4 linked regions of the Oryctolagus cuniculus genome follow. The protein of the gene in region 1 purifies or fractionates together with the protein of each later gene. This does not show direct contact. Links are inferred from orthologs where the notes say so. Each region holds a gene or a part of one and is shown in the gene's direction. Other genes may lie near its edges.

Region 1 (3,232 bases):
AGTGGAGACTGCTGTCGCTCATGCCAGGGCTGCCCAGCCAAAACCCGTGGGACCAGATGTGCCTGGTGTTACGCCACACCCCAGGACAGTCTGGGGGATCAACAGGTATCTGCACTCTCATGGAAGCAGTAAACAGCTTCTCTCCAGGTCGGGTTCTGATGAGGTCAGTGAGATCAGTTTGGTGCCTAGGGAGCTGCCCAAAAGTTCTGGTATTCAGAGGTTGCTGGGGTTGGGCCCTGAGGACAGGCAGGTGCAGGGACACCACGTCCCCTACCCTGTCTGCGGAGAGGACTGCTAGGAAAGGCTGCCTTGTGCACTCTGAGCAGCTGTGGGTTCCTGGGGTGGGGGTGCTTCCAGCTCCCTCCCACCCCCTGAGCTCTCAGCAGTCAGAGGATTTGAGCCAAGGATGTATGCAGCTGGTGTCCCTACCCTGGAGCACCCACCTGCAGACGATGCCTGGAGAGGCGAGAGCCACGGGTGACTGTCTCAGAACGAGCGGTCGGCCTGACATGTGAGTGAGGTCATTTCACAGTTAATTAAAGCAAAGGGCTGCATCAACGCAATGGAAAGAATGCACAGATTTTATCACTTTGAGAAATGGCATGGCAGAGAGTCAGGAAGCCTCGTAAAAGGGTTTGGACAAGCAGGTGACTGACAGGGCTATGGTTGAGAGCCAGGAGCCAGGCAGCTCCAAAAGTAACAGCACAGCCAGGGAAAGTGGCGACTGATCCAAAAAGCCCAGCGTCCCCTCCCCAGGGAGCAGATGCGCTCTGGGGCCAGCACCCTGTGTTCTGACCACGCTGACGAGGCTCCAGCCAGCAGCCCTGCCACCTCCCGCAGACGGGAGCCAGCTCCATGCATATGTTGTGTTGTCCTGCTGGTCAGAACCCTGAGCGGTGGGGGAAGAATTCCTGGTTTCCCTATGGTCTTGGAAGCCGATTCTTGCTTCTGTAAATTAACCAAGTCAAACATTGGGGAAGACTCCAGAGTGTAGGCTCAAGGCCAGGGAGCAGCCGGAGCAGGCGAGGTTTTGGTGGAGAGATGGCAGAAGCCCTAACAGCGAAAAGGCAAAGGAAAGCTAGAGAGGGCTGCCCGCATCAGTCAGGACAGGGGTCAAGGCATTCAACGCGGTCTCCCACCATGGCTTCCGCCGCCGCTGCTGCTGCTGCTGCTACTGCCGCCTCCACCACCATGCAGCCTGCCAGCCGGCTCCCCAGAGGGTCAAAGAGGTGTCACATGATAGATGGCCTGGCTGAGGTCTTCAGAAACACCCTGCCTCCCTGTCAAAGTCACCAACCCTGAGTGCAGTGTGGAGTCAGCAGGCCAGATGGTGCCCAGCCATGCTGGCAGGAGGGCCGAGCCAGAACACGGGGAAATGAAGTGATGACGTTCCTGAGCAGAGCCCAGAGCTGCTGTCAGCGAGGGGCAGTGTGCCCTCCTCGGGGGTGGCGGTGGAGGGTTGTCTGCTTTATGCATATGTTTGTATCAGCTTCCTTGAAATGTCACTTACTTACAATGAAAGTCAGCAGTGTTAGGAATCCAATCCAGGGCGTCTTGACAAACATAAACATTCACAGCACCAGGTACAGGGCCCAGAACAGGGGTCAACAGACCATCACCCAGGGGCTGGGGCTGTCTCCCAGCCTGTCTTTGTGTTGTATATGTTTAAAAGTTGGAGGCGGGGGGATCGAAAGAGAGAGAGAGAGAGAGAGAGAGATTGTATGCAGCCCACAAAACCACACATATTAAATATTTACTCTCTGACCCTTTGCAGAGAGAGTTTGCTGGCCCCGAATAGAGCATCTCCATCACCCCTCCCGCCCCTTCTCGAGCCTTCCTGCCCTCCTCCCTGGCACCCACTGATGCACTTTCTTTCCACCACACAGTTTTGCCCCTTCTAGAATGTGAGAGAAACGCAGTCATCAGTACGTTGCCTTTTGTGTCCCCGTGGTTTCTCATGTTCGGTTCTGCATTCCTTCCCAGTGGCGTGGTGTCCCGCAGAGGGCAGGGTCCAGAGGCTGGGTGAGGTGGTGCCCGCTCTCACTGCCCCTGTCTTCGCAGGCATGAACAACCGGGAGGTGCTGGAGCAGGTGGAGCGCGGCTACAGGATGCCCTGCCCGCAGGACTGCCCCATCTCTCTGCACGAGCTCATGATCCACTGCTGGAAAAAGGACCCCGAGGAGCGCCCCACTTTTGAGTACTTGCAGAGCTTCCTGGAAGACTACTTTACGGCCACAGAGCCCCAGTATCAACCTGGTGAAAACCTCTAAGACCCAGGTCTGCAGAGAGAGGCCTTGTCCCAGAGGCTTCCCCCTCCCTCCCCCTTAGCTTTCAATTCTGTAGCCAGCTGCCCCGAGCAGGCGCAGCGAGAACCGTCCAGGATCAGATTGCATGTGACTCCGAGGCTGACGAACTTCCATGGCCCTCATTAATGACACTTGTCCCCAAATCCGAACCTCCTCTGTGAAGCATATGAGACAGAACCTTGTTAATTCTCAGACTTTGGAAAATGCATTGTATCGATGTCATGTAAAAGGCCAAACCTCTGTTCAGTGTAAATAGTTACTCCAGTGCCAACAATCCTAGTGCTTTCCTTTTTTTAAAATGCAAATCCTATGTGATTTTAACTCTGTCTTCACCTGATTCAACTAAAAAAAAAAAGTATTATTTTCCAAAAGTGGCCTCTTTGTCTAAAACAATAAAATTTTTTTTCATGTTTTAACAAAAACCAATCGGGACAGGTGTTTGGGTTTTTTTGTTCTTTTTTATAAATACGAATACATATAATGTATGTCCCTGTACATATATCATGTGGGTGCTAATGTAAGACCATGGCCAGCCCGGGACCCACAGCTGCAGGACCCACAGTGAGGATCTGACTACACAATCAGCATCGAAAAGAACTGATATTCTAAAAGCCAGTGGTCTCATTTTTTTGGATTTTGCAAAGCATGTTCTTTTTGTTTTTTCTTCACTTGGATTGTGCTTTTTTCCTTCACGACTATCCCTGTACATGGACGTTATCTTGACTCTTTTTAAGAATTCGCAAGTTCTGTTACTGGTATTTGCTTCAACTCACTGCGATTTTTTTTCCCTTGAAACTGAAAAGTGAGCTTATTTAAACAAACAGCCAATACTACTAAGGGAACTGGAAGACGGATACCACACAGACTTCTTGTATAAAAATGTGAATGCTGAAATGTTTCGAATGTTTTTTTTTTTATTTAATAAA
Region 2 (2,539 bases), on another chromosome or scaffold:
TCAGGAGCGGAACGACTGGGAGTTTTTATTTGAAAGAGTTACAGTGAGAGAGAGAAAGAGGAGAAAGATCTTCCATTCGCTGATTCACTCTCCAAATGGCCGCAACAGCCGGGGCTGGGCCAGGCCAGAGCCAGGAGTTTCTTCCTGGTCTCTAAGAATTTGGGCCGTGTTCCGCTGCTTTCCCAGGCACATCCGCGGGGAGCTGGATGGGAAGTGGAGCAGCCGGGACTCGAACCCGCGCTCCACTATGGGATGCCGGCACTGCAGGCAGTAGCTTTACCTGCCGCCCCACAACGCCAGCCCCCACCGTATTGAGTCTCTCGTGTCTGTGTATTTGTTTAGATTGTAATTTATACAGTCCATAATGCTCTGGGCAGGAGTGACTGTCTGCATCGTCACATAGGTAGTTCTTGCTGTGGTCAGAAAAGACGGCATGGATTTCGGGAGGGGACGAGTGCCCCGCTCCCTGACCCCCTTGCCCAGAGAGAGCTGCCGTCAGTGGCGCCTTCCAGGGCTTGCACGCCACCGAGCGCCCACGAGCCTCGGTGGCCCCATCTGCAGGGCACAGGGGCAGGGACACGAGCGCACCCCTCTGGCCGCCCTGGCTTCCGAGCAGGGGGCCCGTCACAGCCCCTCCCGGCTGAGAGGCGCAAAGCCCAGGCCGGGCCGGCCGCCGCCCCCACCCTCACCGCCTCCTGAAAGCCATTTTTAGCCTCCGCCTCCCTGGCGGCCACTCAGAGGGCACACAGAAGCCGGGAGGAGACAGGCTCCTGTTGCCACCCAGAGCCAGCCGGAGTCCCTGGGAGGTGGCAGGACGGCACCCGGGCCCGGGGCGGGGGAAGAGGGGCAGAGGCCAGCAGCTTTCTCGAGACACCTGTGGTGTGGGCCGTCTTGACCCCTGACCCCTGGAGGTTCGCCGAGCCATCTGGTTGGGCATCAGAATAGGGTGCAGGCCTCTGGGTCCTCCCTGACAAGTGCCCGCCCTCTGCTGGAAGTGGGGGTGGGGGACACAGGCCAGCAGTGAGTCAGCCACTCATTCTGGTGGACAGAGACAGCCGTGGTAACAATGGGACGGGGCCTTGTTGGCCGAGTGCCCCGCCCTCCGGGCTCTCAGTGGCCCCGCAGTGTCCCGTTTCTCAGAGGGGAAGACCAAGGCCTGGGGTCGAGGGGCCCGGCCAAAGTCGCCCCGCCACGTGGCAGGGGTGGAGCTGGGTGCTGTGGTGATGCGGCAGCAGGCACCCCCAGTCTCCGGTGGAAACCCAGTTGCACACTCGGGGGGGGGGTCACTTCTGTAAGCCCCAGAGAGCGAGCTGGTCCCCGTGCACTCCAGGAGGGATGCCCAGGAGTGGCAGTGTCCTGGGCCTGTTTGAGGTGGGCGGGGTGGGCAGGCGTGGGCCGCAGTAGTGACCTGCAGCCCATGGCGGAGGGCCTGGGCCCAGGAGGCAGCAGCTGGTGGCCCCAGTACTCAGGTGCCTGCCAGCCACGTGGGAGACCTGGACGGAGCCCTGGGCTCCCCGCTTAGGCCTGGCCCGCCCTGGCTGCTGCAAGCATCTGGGGAGTGACCCAGCAAACACACAGATCTCTCTCTCTCAAATAAATAGTTTTTGTTTTGTTTTGAAGATAGGCAAGGCTAAGCCATGCTGTTTGGCTGGCCAGGTGTGTCAAGTGCATTTTTTTAAAATGGGGTCATTGGAAAGGCAGAGAGAGCTTGCTTGCACATCCGCTGGTTCGCTCCCCGAATGCCCATGGTAGCCTGCTGGGCCCCGAGGCGCCAGGGGCCGCATGCGGAGCGACCTGGGGGCGCCTAGGGGAACCACGGAGAGGTGGGGCCCAGCGAGGGGCTCAGGGGTCCACCTGAACCCAGACTTTCCAAGATGGCGCGGCAGAGGGGGCCGTGGGCAGAGTACGGCAACCTCTGAGCCTGGATTGGCCGGGGCCGGTGACCGAAGGAGGCGCATTAGCAGCTCTGGGTGGAGCGGTACCGCCGAGCCCCGGTGGGGAGCCCCGGTGGGGAGCGGAGAGGGCTGGAGGGGAGGGGGTGGGCCAGGCGGGGCCGTGCCCTCAGTAGGTGAGCCTGGAAGCTGGGAGACCAGGGCGCGCGCAGAGGCCGCGCGGACCCTTCGCGGGGCGCTGGGGGGCCGGGACGAGCCGCTGCTGTGTGCCCGCAGGCCCGGGTGGAGCGCATGGAGCAGTTCCAGAAGGAGAAGGAGGAGCTGGACCGTGGCTGCCGCGAGTGCAAGCGCAAGGTGGCCGAGTGCCAGCGCAAGCTGAAGCAGCTGGAGGTGGCCGAGGGCGGCCAGGCCGGCCAGGCCGAGCTGGAGCGGCTGCAGGCCGAGGCGCAGCAGCTGCGCAAGGAGGAGCGCAGCTGGGAGCAGAAGCTGGAGGAGATGCGCAAGAAGGAGAAGAGCCTGCCCTGGAACGTGGACACGCTCAGCAAGGACGGCTTCAGCAAGGTGCGCGTGCGCGGGCCGCGGGGCTGGGGGCGGCCGCCGGGGGGCGGGGGGCGGGGCGCGTGTGGAGCCTGCCTGGGGGGCCCGGC
Region 3 (3,500 bases), on another chromosome or scaffold:
TGTGTAAACCTCCATAAAACTCGAAACAGCTTTATTGAGCTGTACCCTGTGGTACTTTCAGAATCCCACATTGAAGAAATTATTCATTCCATTTTATTTTAAAACAAACAAAATAATAACATATGGTTGAAGCCACAAATGCGTCTTTGATCCTTTCCTCATATGAGGTGGCACCGGAATTCAGATGAAAATCATTGCAGAATCTTTATTAAAAGCCTAATCAAGCCAAACAGTTTGCGTGGGTTTGGAAACGAACGTCCGCTCTCTCTGTATCCTGTCCTCCCCTGGAGGACACTGGCTGTACACACCCATCCACAGAGCGCTCTGTACCGTGTGGCAGGGAAGGAACCCTCCCAGACCCCCAGCAAAACAAAACAGCGGCCCCCTGCCCTGCCCCGCCCCGCCGCTCCCCTTGGCTGCAGCAGCTCCACATCCTCCACGCAGAGACAAACTTGAAGGGCAGCCTGACCGTGGCTGCAAAAGGACCTAGTAACTGCACCGCTCAGCCGTCCCCTGGGGTCTTGTCTCACTGTCTGTTTTACTTTTCCATTCCCCATTTTTTTTCTCTCTCTTCCACTTTGACCCATTTATTCCCCTCTCCCTTTCTCCAAACTTATCTGCAATCCTGCAGTAAGATCGGAGGGGAGACCAGCTTCCCGCAGCTCAGTTCCCCTGGGAAGCCCCCTTGGTGCCCCCTGCTGCCGGCGTCCGGAGGACGAGGCCCACCCCCCACCCGTCCAGTTTTCTGCTTGAGGAGCAGCGTGTGGCATGCTGGCATTTTCCTCCTCTGCCCTGTTTTCTTCCCTTCGCCTCCTGTCCTTATGCACACACCCATGCTTTCCAGAGCCGCTTCGTCCTGATCAAGTTTTATTGCAGGGAAGGATTTATGTTGATGGTTTAAACCTGATGCAGTGCGAGCCTGGCCTTTTCTGTAGATTTCCTGCCACCAAGGCCCACATTAGAAATAACAGCACTTAACCTAGCGTTTCATTTCCCTGTGACAAGTTTTATTCTCATCCCTCCTTCCGCTCCTCCTCCTCCCCCCTCTTTCCTTCTCTGTCCTATTCTTTTCTTTTTCTCGCTGGTTGTTACATTCTCATCTTTGCCCTTGCAGATCTGAGCTCCTTAACCATTCCGTGCGAAGAGGAGGAGGAGGAGGAGGAGGTGGAGGAGGAGGAGGAGAAGGGGGAAGAGGAAGAAGAAGCAGAAGAGGAAGAGATGTATGATGACATTGATGGTTTTGACTCCCCAAATCCTGGTCCCCAGTGCAGACCCACTGTCTTGCCGGGGGGCATGGGGATCCATGAACCTGCAGAGGAGAAAGAAGACGACATTTACGAGGTCTTACCAGGTGAGAAACTTCGTCTTCTAATTGTCTTGCACTAGTTTCAGAAACTCTTGACCTGGTGGAAGACTAGAACTTTGAAAACGCCAAAGGAAGCCAAATCTCACCTTCATCCTCTGCAGAAGAAAATGCAGAGGAATGTTTCACTCCCGGGATAGAGGCTGTGCCTGCCTCTGGGAGCCAGGCGAAGTTGATCAGGGTGTGTCTTTGATCTGTGCCATATGGAATAACTTATTGCATGCATCAACAGGTTAAAGAGCCGTGAATACTCAGGTTGGTTTCCATTGGTTTATTTCATTGGTTCTAAAACTCTAGTTTCAACTTTTTTCCTGTGTAATTGTGAGAATACTACAAAGTTGCCTCCCAATTCAGGATGTCAAAGTCTACAGTATACAGTGGTGGCTCACCTTTCTAGTGCCAGAAAACCCGACAATTCATCACCACTTAGTTCAGACATACCACAAATCAAAACCACATCTCTTTAAAAAAAAAAAAAAAAAAGATTTATTTATTTATTTATTTATTTGAAAGTCAAAGTTACACAGAGAGAGAAGGAAAGGCAGAAAGAGAGAGAGGTCTTCCATCCACTGGTTCACTCCCCAATTGGCCACAATGGGTGGAGCTGCACCAATCTGAAGCCAGGAGCCAGGAGCTTCTTACTGGTCTCCCACATGGGTGCCAGGGGCCAAGGACTTGGGCCATCTTCTACTGCTTTCCCAGGCCAGAGCAGAGAGCTGGATCAGAATTGGAGCAGCCGGGACTCGAACCAGCACCCATATGGGATGCCAGCACTGCAGGCGGTAGCTTTACCTGCTACGCCATGGCACCGGCCCCAAAAAGCCACATCTCTTAAAAATGAGCCTAGCATCCTTCCTCTGCCCGCCACAGTGGTCTGCTCTCTGCATTTCCTTGTTTCCAAAGGCATGATCGCCGTCACCTCAAAAAAACGCACAGTCATCCAGGCTCCTCGTCACCCCCGCCAGTGGGATACCAGCAGCTGTGATGGGTGCAGAGCGCAGTGGGTGTCAGACTGGGAAAACTGATGCTTGCACCTTTTCATGGTGAGGGAGTTAGACCACAGGAGCGCTGGACTTTGTGGTCCGTGCAGAAAGATCGCTCCCGTGGAAATTTGCCAGGACTTCTGTGCTCTGCGACAAAATGCAAATTAAGCCTAAATTTATGGCAATTTAAGCCTCAGTCCCAGATGCTCCCAGAAACTAAGGTGAACCCAGTACTCGGGCCCCTGAAGACGGCTGCTTGCTAAAAGCATCCTCAGCAAGTAACTTGCACTGAGGCTCTCTCAGTGCTGGGTTCTGCATTGCCCCTTCCTGGGGGAAAGCCACGTCATTGGTTCCTGAGCCAAGGAGCAGGGCTGTGGCCACACACATCCCTTCCCTGCTGGGGACTTCACCCACCGGGACGACCAGGGGCGGGTGCATCTTCTTCTAGCGCTTCCTGCTTCTGCCAGTCCCGACTTCCCCAGCCTTTTTGTTGTGTTTTATTATGCAAATGATATCTTGGTTGAGGTCGAACCATTTCTTGTGTCTGAAGTTAAAAAAAAAAAATGATAATTTCCTCAGCAAGTCATCGTCGTTAATGAAGTTTTACAAAAACAGATACAACCAAAGGAAAATAAAATTTCACAGGTGATAAATTTTTCCAATTTCCCTGGCAGAATTCGATAGGATTGTTAAATTAAGAGTGAAGGTGTCTGTTAGAAAGCAACGAGCAGTGATGGGTAATTTTATAGAGTGGAAAATTGAATCAAATTGCTACATTAAAACACAGCTCCTCTGAGAATCTTCCCTTTCACAGTCTGCTCCATTGCAACAGCAGGGTGCAGAAATGGATCCAATTCACAACACTCCCTAAAAGGAGATGCACGCCCCAACCTGGCCAGCGTCTTCCTAGCCAGCTTGCGTTCTGCTCACTCCTGCCCAGGCCTGGGGAAATATCCAGGTGACATTCCACGTCGGGTTACAGCTGTGGAGGACCGGCCACTCAGCCCTCTGGGGCGCCAAGAAGGGGCCTTTCATGGACCATGTTTGGTTCTCAGAGGAGTCACGGAGGAGAGGGCTGATGCTCAGAGACACAGCACAGCGGAAGGAGAGGGCAAGAGGCCACAGAAAAGATGAGTTTGGGACCATTGCCGTGT
Region 4 (3,500 bases), on another chromosome or scaffold:
TTCAAGTCCCAGCTGCTCCACTTCCAGTTATCTCCCTGTTGATGGCCTGGGAAAGCAGTGGAAGGGAGCCCAAGTGGTTGGGCCCATTTACTCACGTGGGAGACCTAGAAGAAACTCCTGGCTCCTGGCTTTGGATCAGCCTAGCTCCAGCCATTGTGGTCATTTGAGGAGTGAACCATTGGATGGAAGATTCTCTCTGTCTCTCCCTCTCTTTCTAACTCTGCCTATCAAATAAATAAATTCTTAAAATCTTGTGACCATCAATCAGTTTATTCCACAAGAAATCGCTGTGTGTCAGGCTCAGTGTTTGGAAGCATAAAACACTAATCCTCTGTGCTCTAGGGGGATTTATAGTTAATGAAGGATGGTTTGCCTTAAATTCTAGTTGCTTTGTTCAGTTTTTTTTTATTTTTTTAATTTTTTTATTTTTTGACAGGCAGAGTGGATAGTGAGAGACAGAGACAGAGAGAAAGGTCTTCCTTTGCTGTTGGTTCATCCTCCAATGGCCGCTGCGGCCAGTGCGCTGGGGCCGGCGCACCGTGCTGATCCGATGGCAGGAGCCAGGTACTTCTCCTGGTCTCCCATGGGGTGCAGGACCCAAGGACTTGGGCCATCCTCCACTGCACTCCCGGGCCACAGCAGAGAGCTGGCCTGAAAGAGGGGCAACCGGGACAGAATCCGGGGCCCCAACCGGGACTAGAAACCAGTGTGCCGGCGCTGCAAGGCGGAGGATTAGCCTAGTGAGCCGCCGTGCCGGCTTTTTTTTTTTTGCTTTGTTCAGTCTTTACCTTAGTTATCTACTTACCTCATGTAACACATAGTCAAATATTTGACAGTGCAGTGACTACCTCATTTCCTCTCACTGAATATTTTATACTTGCAAAATATTTTCTCCATAATAATCACCCTTCACTCCATTCCTCAAAAGCAGTTGTTACTTTGCGGATGTTAAAACCAGGAGCTTAGCACTAGTAAGTATTCAGTATATGAGAGAGGGGTGGAGTTAGTCTGTGACCCTTAAAAATGGAAATTTTATGATCTCTAGTTCTCATTAAAGTGCTGAAAATAATGGAGAAATCTAGTGCCGAGGAGGTTATACTCTGAGAGTTCTAATATAAGAAAATGTTCTCACTGTTCCCCTGTTTAAGCTTCTCTACTATCTTCCTTGCCCTCAGGATCATTTTAATGTATGAGATCTTGCTTGTATCATTATCTCTATAATCCAGCCACACTAAAACATTTGCATCTCCCCAGATATATCATGTAATTTCTTATTTATACAGGTGACTTTCTGCCCTTCTTTACCTAACTACTGTTTGGTATTTGGACCACCTATATAGAATTGCTACCAATATATGCACCACCACCCCACCAAGCTGACATTTCTGTCTGCTGTGTGCTTTCCCATGGCCTTTGTGAAAACTCCCAGTTTGCAAGTTCGAGACTCCTTCTGGATAGCTTACTAGGTCCAAGTAGTGGCTAATTTATCATTTTCACCCCACTGTGTAGCATAATTGCTGGCATTTTCTATGCTCAAATATTTGTCGAGAAAATTAACATCCACAGGAGAAAAATGTGGTTTTCTTGTCACTTCGCTTCTGTGTTTTTCAGAGTTCGTTATCTGGCCAAAGAAAATGTGACCCAGGACCCTGAGGACCACACGGTTTCCTTTGTGCAGCCCAATGGAGCTATCTTTGAACCTTCCCTGTCTGTTGGAACCGAGAATGACACATTCACAGTTCTCAATTTGGCTGTCGCAGTGAGTAGGCAAACAGAACCATTGTTATTTGAGAAATAAACCACCATAATTAAGCTCATCACTAGAATTATCAATAGATTTTATGTGCCATTTTAAGAAATGTGTATTTTTACTTGAAAGGCAAAAACAAAAAAGGAAAGAGAGAGAGAGACCAAGCCCATCCACTTGGTCAGTCCCCAAATGACTTCAACTGGGGTTGGGCCAAGTGAAACCAAGAACCCCAAATTCAATTTGGGTCTCCCGCATGGGTCCTAGGGACACAACCATTCAAGCCACCATTGTTGACTCCAGGGACGCGCAAAGCCAATACTCAAACATAGGCACTTTCATATGTCATCATCACTACACCAAGCACCCACTTCTACTTGCCACTTTTAAAAAAATGTGTTCTTGGGATATTTTCAAGAGTTAGGGTCACTTAGAAAAATGGCAAAATCATAATCAGCTGGGTTAGAATATGGTTTAAAGTATACTGCTAAAAATCCTAGTGCTAAACTTGAGATGTCTACTTCCATGCCTGGCATTGAGGCAGAAAAAATGTAATATTATAGAGATTAGACAAAAACTTTCAGTCTTAGGAGCATTTGGCAATACTATTAAGGGTATCTTTTTTTTTTAAAGTTTGTATTAAGCTCAACTATAGTACTTAATCCTTTTATGTTAAGATCTGATACTGTATTGATATATCTTAATAGTGAATTTCTTTTTTGTAGGCTGCACCTCATATCTATCAAAATACATTTGTTCAAGTGTTACTCAATTCACTCATCAAAAAGTCAAAATCTTCTATGTTCCAAACCAGAACTTTAAAAGAATTACTATGGGGCTATAAAGATCCATTCTTGAGTTTGGTTCCATACCCTATTACCACCACAGTGGGTGTGTTTTATCCTGTAAGTACCAAATATGAATAAAAATATTGTTATCTTTCAGCTGGATGAAAGCAATGTCTTAGTCAAGGCATCCTTTGTAATTTAGTGTGTTAGTCTATTGTTGATCTGGAAATACATACCATATATATATATATATATATATATATATATATTTTAAGTCTTCATCACACATACATTCAGCTTTCCTAGTGGGAAAATTTTAAAAAATTTATGCTAATGTCATCAAGTTTCCACTCTTTTATAAATGTACAAGTGGTCCAAACATACCTTGTAAGTCTGCAAATCATTGAAAACTATTTTTATTTTGTTTTTCCTTCTTACAAAATCAAGTTCAATACTATATTTCTATTTGCCCAATGTATTCTGTCATTTCTCCTTCTCCAGACCTCTTACAAAATTTTAAACATTTAAGTAAAATGTTAGCCTAAATTTATGCAGTCAGAAGGCCTTTTTTTGATGGGACTGTGATTCAGACCTTCCAGTAGTACCGAATGCTGTGAAAATGGCATTTTGAAGATTATGTAAAATAGTTTCATTAGGTTTTATATATGTACATATTAGTTATATTCTCAAATTCTTTGTTTTACTTTAGATAGTGGTTAGGATTGTAACGTTCCATATCAGTCAATTATGAATATAGAAAGCCATAAGGAATCAGATTCAGTTATTATAACTCAACTACTCGTAACTCTTTACCATGGCTAATTCGTTTTTAATTTTAGTACTTCTTACTTAAGGTCATAACATTTAAAGTAATTCTAGAAATGTGTCACTGCTCTCATAGGTTTTATTCAATCTTCTCAATATAATAGGAGTGGTGACTGGCTGAATTATGACAGTTCTAGAGT

The links. The genes of interacting proteins can lie anywhere in the genome.
Region 2: the proteins of FYN (region 1) and CDC37 purify together in Homo sapiens (affinity purification with mass spectrometry; 5 studies listed by BioGRID and IntAct, counting the BioPlex papers as one, with this or other methods). This does not show direct contact. The link is inferred for Oryctolagus cuniculus from reciprocal best matches to the Homo sapiens genes FYN and CDC37.
Region 3: the proteins of FYN (region 1) and SKAP1 purify together in Homo sapiens (affinity purification with western blotting; 3 studies listed by BioGRID and IntAct, with this or other methods). This does not show direct contact. The link is inferred for Oryctolagus cuniculus from reciprocal best matches to the Homo sapiens genes FYN and SKAP1.
Region 4: the proteins of FYN (region 1) and CD36 purify together in Homo sapiens (affinity purification with western blotting; 3 studies listed by BioGRID). This does not show direct contact. The link is inferred for Oryctolagus cuniculus from reciprocal best matches to the Homo sapiens genes FYN and CD36.

The regions. Positions count from the first base shown.
Region 1 is NC_091436.1:59,932,280-59,935,511, forward strand, and holds the end of FYN (tyrosine-protein kinase Fyn), read left to right. Parts: intron 1-2,061; coding exon 2,062-2,270; 3' UTR 2,271-2,732; downstream 2,733-3,232. UniProt on the Homo sapiens protein: Non-receptor tyrosine-protein kinase that plays a role in many biological processes including regulation of cell growth and survival, cell adhesion, integrin-mediated signaling, cytoskeletal remodeling, cell motility, immune response and axon guidance.
Region 2 is NC_091447.1:67,018,373-67,020,911, forward strand, and holds part of CDC37 (hsp90 co-chaperone Cdc37), read left to right. Parts: intron 1-2,168; coding exon 2,169-2,453; intron 2,454-2,539. UniProt on the Homo sapiens protein: Co-chaperone that binds to numerous kinases and promotes their interaction with the Hsp90 complex, resulting in stabilization and promotion of their activity. Inhibits HSP90AA1 ATPase activity.
Region 3 is NC_091448.1:24,458,741-24,462,240, reverse strand, and holds part of SKAP1 (src kinase-associated phosphoprotein 1), read left to right. Parts: intron 1-1,114; coding exon 1,115-1,351; intron 1,352-3,500. UniProt on the Homo sapiens protein: Positively regulates T-cell receptor signaling by enhancing the MAP kinase pathway. Required for optimal conjugation between T-cells and antigen-presenting cells by promoting the clustering of integrin ITGAL on the surface of T-cells.
Region 4 is NC_091434.1:145,409,045-145,412,544, forward strand, and holds part of CD36 (platelet glycoprotein 4), read left to right. Parts: intron 1-1,611; coding exon 1,612-1,759; intron 1,760-2,472; coding exon 2,473-2,652; intron 2,653-3,500.